Sus scrofa: one gene and its partner. Each later gene encodes a partner of the first gene's protein in a complex. Links are inferred from orthologs where the notes say so. Each region holds a gene or a part of one and is shown on either strand. Other genes may lie near its edges.

Evidence for each region.
Region 2: TAF6 (region 1) and TAF12 share a complex: the UniProt entries of both Homo sapiens proteins name them as parts of the TFIID basal transcription factor complex. The link is inferred for Sus scrofa from reciprocal best matches to the Homo sapiens genes TAF6 and TAF12.

What each region holds. Positions count from the first base shown.
Region 1 is NC_010445.4:8,017,062-8,020,944, reverse strand, and holds the end of TAF6 (transcription initiation factor TFIID subunit 6), read left to right. Parts: coding exon 1-37; intron 38-159; coding exon 160-261; intron 262-367; coding exon 368-550; intron 551-812; coding exon 813-887; intron 888-1,013; coding exon 1,014-1,139; intron 1,140-1,764; coding exon 1,765-1,938; intron 1,939-2,400; coding exon 2,401-2,598; intron 2,599-2,731; coding exon 2,732-3,112; 3' UTR 3,113-3,246; downstream 3,247-3,883. Other genes in the region: AP4M1 (AP-4 complex subunit mu-1), read right to left, coding at 3,460-3,681, 3,852-3,883. UniProt on the Homo sapiens protein: The TFIID basal transcription factor complex plays a major role in the initiation of RNA polymerase II (Pol II)-dependent transcription.
Region 2 is NC_010448.4:85,639,850-85,644,347, reverse strand, and holds the start of TAF12 (transcription initiation factor TFIID subunit 12), read left to right. Parts: upstream 1-1,277; 5' UTR 1,278-1,390; exon of another isoform or gene 1,391-1,842; intron 1,843-4,498. UniProt on the Homo sapiens protein: The TFIID basal transcription factor complex plays a major role in the initiation of RNA polymerase II (Pol II)-dependent transcription.

The sequences.
Region 1 (3,883 bases):
GATGCTCCCACGCTTCAGCACCTTCATCTCGGAAGGGGTGAGAGGACGCGGGGGAGGGGGACGCAGGACCTACGCCGGGGTTCAGGGGGGAGGCGGTGGAAGAGGCAGCTCGTGTGAGGGGTCCCATCCCCGATCCCTTCTCCCTGCCCCGCCCCCCAGGTGCGCGTGAATGTCGTGCAGAACAACCTGGCCCTGCTCATTTACCTGATGCGCATGGTGAAGGCGCTGATGGACAACCCCACTCTGTATCTAGAGAAATATGTGAGTGGACCTGCCTGCCCTGCCGCCATCCCCGTCCTTGGGGACCCTGCCGCCACCAACAGGGGACCACTTGTCAGCACCGGCTGACTCCAGGCTTCTCCCCTAGGTGCACGAGTTGATCCCAGCTGTGATGACCTGCATCGTGAGCAGACAGCTGTGCCTGCGGCCAGACGTGGACAATCACTGGGCGCTCCGGGACTTTGCCGCCCGCCTGGTGGCCCAGATCTGCAAGCACTTCAGCACAACCACGAACAACATCCAGTCTCGAATCACCAAGACCTTTACCAAGGTGAGCTGGAGGTGCAGGGGCCCTCTCACGTCACTGCCGGGGGTCGTCACCAGAACGACGAGAGCTTCACCCAAACCCGTGCGGCTGCGGTAAACAACATGGAAAACCAGGGGCAGCGGGCAGGGGGATAGGAACTGGGACCTGAGCCACATCTGTCGTGTCTTAATGATTTACAAAGAAAGCGTGTTTATGACAGACTGGGGTCCTTACCAGTTAGCTTTTCATGCCCCTTTATTTGGGTTTATTTTCTGGCCCCTTACAGAGCTGGGTGGATGAGAAGACCCCGTGGACAACGCGCTACGGCTCCATCGCAGGCCTGGCAGAGCTGGGACACGATGTTAGACGCTGGGGGGAGCACTGGGGGAGGGGAGGGATTGGGAGGTCATAGCGGGCCACCACCCCCGGACCCAGGAAACCCTGTGGTGACCCCAGGGCCCTGGCTTCTCCCCTTTCTTTCCAACAGGTGATTAAGACTCTAATTCTGCCAAGGCTACAGCAGGAGGGGGAGCGGATCCGCGGGGTCCTGGATGGCCCGGTGCTGAGCAATATTGACCGCATCGGGGCTGACCACGTGCAGAGCCTCCTCCTGGTGACAAAGCCCCGCCCCTGCCCTCCCCCACTTCTTCCCACAAATCTCCCCTCCGCCCCCGCCACACACACAACAGGGTTTAGCAAGGGTATATATAGCATCTTCTGTTCCCTTTGCCAGTCTTCCCTCATACATTCAGAGCACACCTCCGAGTCCCATATCGTTTTACACATGGAAAGACTGAGGCACTGAGGAGTCAAGAAAGAAATACGAGGTCTCCTCCGATTCAGCCCCTGGCCCAGGAACTTCCATATGCTGCAGGTGCAGCTGTGAAAAGAAAAAGAAAAAAAAAAAAAAAAAGGCAGAGAAATAAGGTCTTAAGACTCAGCCTGTGACTTGGAAACTGCATGGCCCCTGATGCTTCTGTGTCGCCCTAGCCTATTCTGCACAAGGCCTACGCCCAGTGGACCAGCTGGGCCCTAGATGATACCAGTGTAGTCAGCATGTTCTTCTCTCACACCAGCTGGCGCCCGTGTTCTCTACACACACTGATACCCCAGTGCCAACTGGCCTCCAGCAGGAACACACTGAAACAGTGGGTGGCCTCCTTTGCCGCCCCTTCCCCGTCAAGGTTCTGAGTCCCAGCCCTCCCTCTACCTGGCTGTTTTTTGCCTTCTTTCTGCAGAAACACTGTGCCCCGGTTCTGGCAAAGCTGCGCCCGCCACCTGACAACCAAGATGCCTATCGGGCAGAATTTGGGTCCCTCGGGCCCCTCCTCTGCTCCCATGTGGTCAAGGCCCGGGCCCAGGCTGCTCTGCAGGCTCAGCAGGTCAACAGGACCACCCTGACCATCACCCAGGTCGGTGCGGTGTGGGGCGGGGGTGAGCAGGGGGAGACGAGGGTGAGGCGAAGTGGAGAACCCAGGGTGGTTCTCGTCCTGGCACAGACACACAAGCACACGCTCACTAGCACAAGACACAGGGCCCCCGAGCCAGCAGTCTTGGGGGAGTCTAGGCCCCCTTGCTGACAATGGCCGAACCCCAGTGAGACCCACTGAGGAGCAAAAGGAGCCCTTCTTTCTGTAGCTGGTGAATGTTTTTCATAGATGGAGACATTTTCTTATGGAAGTTCCCAGGCAGGGCTGGAATCTCAGTGGCAGCTGTGACCTACGCCAACAGCTGCAGCAACGCCCGATCCTTAACCCATTGTGCTGGGCCGGGGACCAAACTGGGGACCTGAGCCAACGCAGTTGGAGTCTTAATGTATGGCACCACAGTGGGAACTCTTGGCAACATTCTCTTCCTGCTTCTTCTTGTTATAGCCCCGGCCCACGCTGACCCTCTCACAGGCCCCCCAGCCTGGCCCTCGGACCCCTGGCTTGCTGAAGGTCCCTGGCTCCATCGCACTGCCTGTCCAGACACTGGTGTCTGCACGAGCTGCTGCCCCACCTCAGCCTTCCCCTCCCCCAACCAAGTTTATTGTAATGTCATCGTCCTCCAGCGCCTCATCCACCCAGCAGGTAAGCGGAGCATGGGGAAGCAGAGACCGTGGGCAGTGTCGCCGTGTCACTGATTGTTTGGTTGGAGCGAGGGGAGTATCTCCCAGGCCTGGGGTGTGGGGAGGGAACACGCACTGCCTGTCTTCCCGCCCAGGTCCTGTCCCTCAGCACCTCGGCCCCCGGCTCAGGCTCTACCACAACCTCGCCCGTCACCACCACCGTCCCGAGCGTGCAGCCCATCGTCAAGCTGGTTTCCACCGCCACGGCCGCGCCCCCCAGCACTGCCCCCTCTGGTCCCGGCAGTGTCCAGAAGTACATTGTGGTCTCTCTTCCCCCCACAGGGGAGGGCAAGGGAGGCGCCACCTCCCATCCTTCTCCAGCCCCTTCCCTGCCCTCCGCCCCCTCCCCGCTTGGGGGCAGCGCCCTCTGTGGGGGGAAGCCCGAAGCGGGGGAGAGCCCCCCTCCCGCCCCGGGGACTCCAAAGGCTAATGGCTCCCAGCCCCCCGGATCTGGCTCCCCTCAGCCTGCGCCTTGATGCTGTCACAGGCCTGCCCACCTTCTCTGCCCCGGACTCACACTCATACACACACAGGCTCGCGCACGCTAGATGGAAGGAAGGCGTAGCTTCCTCCGCGTGACCTTCTCTTTAGATACTGTACAGCCAGCTCCTCAGAATAAAAGTTTCATTTTTAAGGTGTGGTCCCCCAGTCCTTCCCAGGGCAGATCCCACAGGAGGGTTGAACCCACCGAGCTCCCTTAGTCTCTAGGACACAGGACTCTTCGAGCCACACCCACAGCAAGAGGCCAGGACACTGGAGGAGAAAACATCGTCCTTCTGCTACACAGACCCGCTCTTGCCGCCTGAGTCCTTATTCGGGAGCCTCAGATCCGAATGACGTAGGCATCACTGTGGCTTAGGTGTCGCACCCACTTGTGGGGGTTGGCGTTGCCGCAGGGTCTGAACGGCAGCCTGAGGAAGCGAACCTGGAGGCCGGAGCACGTGTGCCGGGGAAGTTCGAAGGAGAGGCTGGCAGGGCCCAGCCCCAGAGGAGCCGCGCCGGAGGGCCCTGGGCCGGGAGGCCCAGGAATGCCCGGGACATCCATCTGTGAGGGGCAGAGGTAGGGGAGGGTGCTGAAGGCCCAGAGAGGAAGGAGGGCGGGGGAGCCGAGGGGCCAGGAAGCCAATCACGCTGACCCACCGCACTCAGAGGCAAGCGCCAGGGGCTGGAAATGGAAGTGGAAGGAGAGGGCCTCCGAAAACCAGCGGCTGATACCTGGAAGAGGCCTGAGAGCTGCGAGCCTCCCT
Region 2 (4,498 bases), on another chromosome or scaffold:
GGACCCCTAGCCTGGGAACCTCCATATGCCGCAGGAGTGGCCCTGGAAAAGGCAAAAAGTCAAAAAGTCAAAAAGTCAAAAAAAAAAAAAGAATGAAGGGATCAGTGGCAGAGAAATAAGACTAGGACGATAACTCGAAGCCTAATGGTGAAAGGGCCTGGAATCTGTGAACATGGATCTGTGACAGTGTAAGGGAGGATTGTGAATTTGGTGGGATGAAGATGGCAAGATATAAAGACAGGAAGGGGAAGTTCCCTCATGGCTCAGGGGATTAAAGATCTGGTGCTGTCACTGCTGTAGCTATGGTCAGAGCTGGGGCATGGGTCCCACCTCTGGCCTAGGGAACTTCTTCAAGCCACAGGAATGGCCAAAAAAAAAAAAAAAAAAAGAAAGAAAAAGAAAAAGAAGACAAGGGAGAGCAAATTGCTGCATCAGTTCAGGTAGGAGACAGCTTTTCCTTGTGACAGTTACTGCTGTTCACTCTGGGCTGTCACAGCACTTTGTACTCTCCTTTATGTTTGCAGGTTCTCCATCTTAGTGTGTGGACCTGGGCTCCAAAGGGACTGAGGCTGGAATTGTGTTTTGTTTATATGCCTAGCATCTAGCATAGCATAAATAAAGCAACTGTCACCATGCATTTGATGGAAGAGATAACCAAAGGCATCAGTTTAATGGTTGAAGTACAGTTCAGGCTTTGGAGTGAGAATTTGTGAGTTCAATTTGAGACTCTGCTTTTATTAGCTACTTAACTTGCTTAATCTCACAGATTTCCTTTAAATCGTTAAAATGATTTACCGTAGGTTTAGAAAAATTTCTGGCAGATAGTAAGGGCTCAATTATTACTATTATTATTAACTGCCTATTCACAGTCATAACCCAATCGGTCTCCCTTGTCCTCAGATTTTTCCTGCTGGGGTCCAACGGGATATCTATGGAGTGTTGCTGTCCCACGAGTTATTACCTTCCTGATAGCACGACAAAGACACCAACCAAAAATGGCGACCTCTAAGCCATCCGAGGACGTCAATGCTGGTCATGATAGCGATATACACAGCAGGCAGAGTCGGAAAGAAATAGCTAGGGCAGGGTTCGTACCGCCAGAATACAAAGCGCATAGTTTGCTTACACTGCCCATTAACCACAAGCCGAAAAAACCTAACCACCAGAACTGAGCTACAGCGCAGAACGGCGACCACGTGTCGGAGAGCAGTCTGCGCCTGCGCAAAGCAGGCGCGCGCCCGCCAGCCGGAAGAGCCGCGCGTTTCCGGGTTGGAGGCGGGGAGCGGTGCCGGAAGTACTCGGGGAGGGCCGAGCAGTCGGACCGGCTGCTGAGACGAACGCTTCACTGGGGCAGTCTCCGCATATCATGGGGAGATAGACGCTGCTGCCTGTGAGTCTTGGGCCCTGGCAGTTGAGGAATAAGAGCGGGAGGAGGGAGTCAGGACCCAGACCACAGTGGTCAGTGTTCGAAGAGCCAAATTGTGAAGGAGACTGGGCTGTGTGAGGAATCAGGCTCGTGGGACGGGACTGAGGGGCTCGGGGATCGGAGAAGACGCGGCTGTGGGGACCTGGGCTCCAGACGGGACTTAGGGAACCGGGATGGATGTGAGTTCTCCCGCACGCAAGGGAAAGCGAGTTGAGAGAGATAGGATTATGAGGATCCGTGCTTCTAAGAGGAGAGGGTCGGAACTGAACGGGGTGTGAAGACACGGACTCCTGAGAGGTAAAAGCGAAGCTGTTAGGACTTGGGCTCTTAAGCGGCAGAAGCGGAACAGTGAAGACCCAGGCTTCTAACGATTCAGAAACAGGGCAGCGAAGACAGGTTCCTGAGAGGCAGGAGCGGTAAGAGAACATTTGGGTTTGGGAAGAACAGGAGCGGGCAGTGAAGACGCGCTTCTTTGGGGACCGGATCGGGGCTTGCAGACTCCGAAGTACCTGAGGGAACAGGACTATGAGGACCTGAGATCCTAAAAGCGGAGAGTGTAAGGGGCTGTGTCTGTAAGTAGATCAGCCTCCAAGGGAAGGGGAGAGAGTTTGAAAAAGACATAGTGATCCTTCCCCCATCCCCTCATATTCTCTGAACCGGGAATGGTAAAGGATGTATTCAGGGGAAGACGACTCCTTCACGCTGCCTATTTGGCTTTTGGCAGGCTTATCGTGTCAGAACGATCTAGGAAGCCAAGCATCTTCGTTTTCTGCTCCTTCAGGAGTAGCACTGGTGTGAAGTTAAAGCAGTTTGAACTCAGTTGTGTACTTTATAAGTGCTTTAAATCCCATTCCACTCAACTCCGATATTTAGCATAGATCTCTGCATTTCAAAGAAGAGAATGACAGAGATGGAGAGACCCCGGAAATATCAGGCGTCCCCCCACACCCCCGGGCTTGCAGCGGCTTTATGTAGGAGGATATCTGTTTCTCTGTTCCCAGACCAGGGTTTGGAACAGCAGCGGTGAAAGCACCAAGTACTAACCACTAGACCACCAGGGAACTCCCAAGATCATCTTTTATAAACTCATATTTTACCTCTAAGGAGGCTAAAGTCCAAACAGGGCTTAGGGTTACACTGAGTCAATGATTGATTAGATGGAAATTTTGTTACAGTACCCTGCTCTGCATAGCAAATGGGAGAGGCTCGGTTAATACTCCTTGAAAACATGCTTCTAGAATCTTTGCTCTAACTTCAAACTCAAGAGGGAAATTTTTACAGATTTAAGTACTTTGAGTCTTGTTACTGTATTGACATTGATGCAGTGAATGTCACTTACCAGTTAGGAAACCATTAAATGAAGCCCCTTCCCTCTCAAAAATAGTCATTTAGAAAGTTCATATAGGTAAGTTGTATCCTGTATTTTTAGCATAAGCATTTACTGGAAATAGCCGCTTTCAGATAAGGATGGTGGAGAGACTTGGACTAGTCACTTCCCTTCTTCAATAATACCTTTTACTGAAACTTACTCAGACTAACCAAACACCATCATAAGCACTTTCAAGTATTAAATCATTTAATTACTGCTTACTGCCCCACCAGTTAGATATTGTTAATCCCATGGCACAGATAAGGAAATCAGTGCAGAGACGTTAAATGTTTCCCTGAAATCACATGGTACTAAGTGGCCCAGACCCAGTCAAACTCAGGTGTTTGAAGTTTTTTCTGCTTTTCTAAGTGGATTCCTCGCCTTGTCTCAGTTTGCCCATCAGCAAAATTGCATCCTCATCTATCTTTGGAAAATGTGCTACTTATTTCACTCATTTGTGGCTCTAGCATTGATTGAATTATTATAATAGGATTTCTAAGAATGTACCTGATAGAGAATCATTGTGTTAGAGTGGATATGAACATAGAACATATTACTTTTAGGTCCCGGGGAGGCGGGTGCTGCTTTCATGGCATGCAGAAATTCCCAAACCAAGGATCAGACTTTCACTGCAGCAGTGGCAATGCCAAATCCTTAACCACTAGGCCACAAAGAAACTCCAGAACATGTTATCCCTCCCCCCCCCCCCCCCCCCCGCCACAGCTGCACCAAGGCATGTTTAAGTTCCCAGGCCAGGGATCAAACCCATGCTGCAGTTGCGAACTATGCTGCAATTGCAGCAACGCAGATCCTTTAACCCACTGTACTGGACCTGGGATCAAACCTGCCACAGGTTCATGAATTCAAAGAACATAGTACTTTTTACTCAAGGTGTTTGGGGGAAGTCCCTAAGTACTTTGGAAACAATATATCGGCTGTGTTTACAACCAGTACCATGAAACAGGTGTGTTGGAAGCAGAAGACAAACTTTAAAATCAATACATACCTGTCGTGGTGCAGTGGTTAACACATCCAACTAGGAACCATGAGGTTGCGGGTTTGACCCCTGGCCTTGCTCAGTGAGTTAAGGATCCCCCGTTGCCATGAACTGTGGTATAGGTCAAAGACGCAGCTCGGACCCCCAGTTGCTGTGGCTGTGGCGTAGGCCAGCATCTACAGCTGCGATTAGACTCCTAGCCTGGGAACCTCCATATGTGCCAGGAGTGGCTCTAGAAAAGGCAAAAAGACCCAAAAAAAAAAAAAAAAAAAAAAAAAAAACAGTACATACAGACTTAATTTTAAATCTTAGATACTAGTTGTTGGAGTTGGAGGGAACTTTAGAATTTGCCTGGTCCTTCTAATTATGTAGAAATTCTGGTTAAAAGGAGCTCACATAACCCAGTGGTAGAACTAGGATAGCACTCAGCCCAGCTGACTTGAGTCTTTTTTTTTTCTTTTTTTGCCACACTCATTGCATGTGGAGGTTCCCAGGCCAGAGATCAAACCCCAGCCATCGCAGCACCCCAAACCACTGCAGCGATAACACTGGATCCTTAGCTGGCTGTGCCACAAGAGAACTCCACTGTTCTTTTTTTAATGTCTGTAGTAATAAGAATGGTTATAGGATGTCACCAATACATAGCAAGATGGGTGAAACCTTTTAGGTTTTTTTTTTTTTTTTTTTTCTTTTTTAATGGCCACAG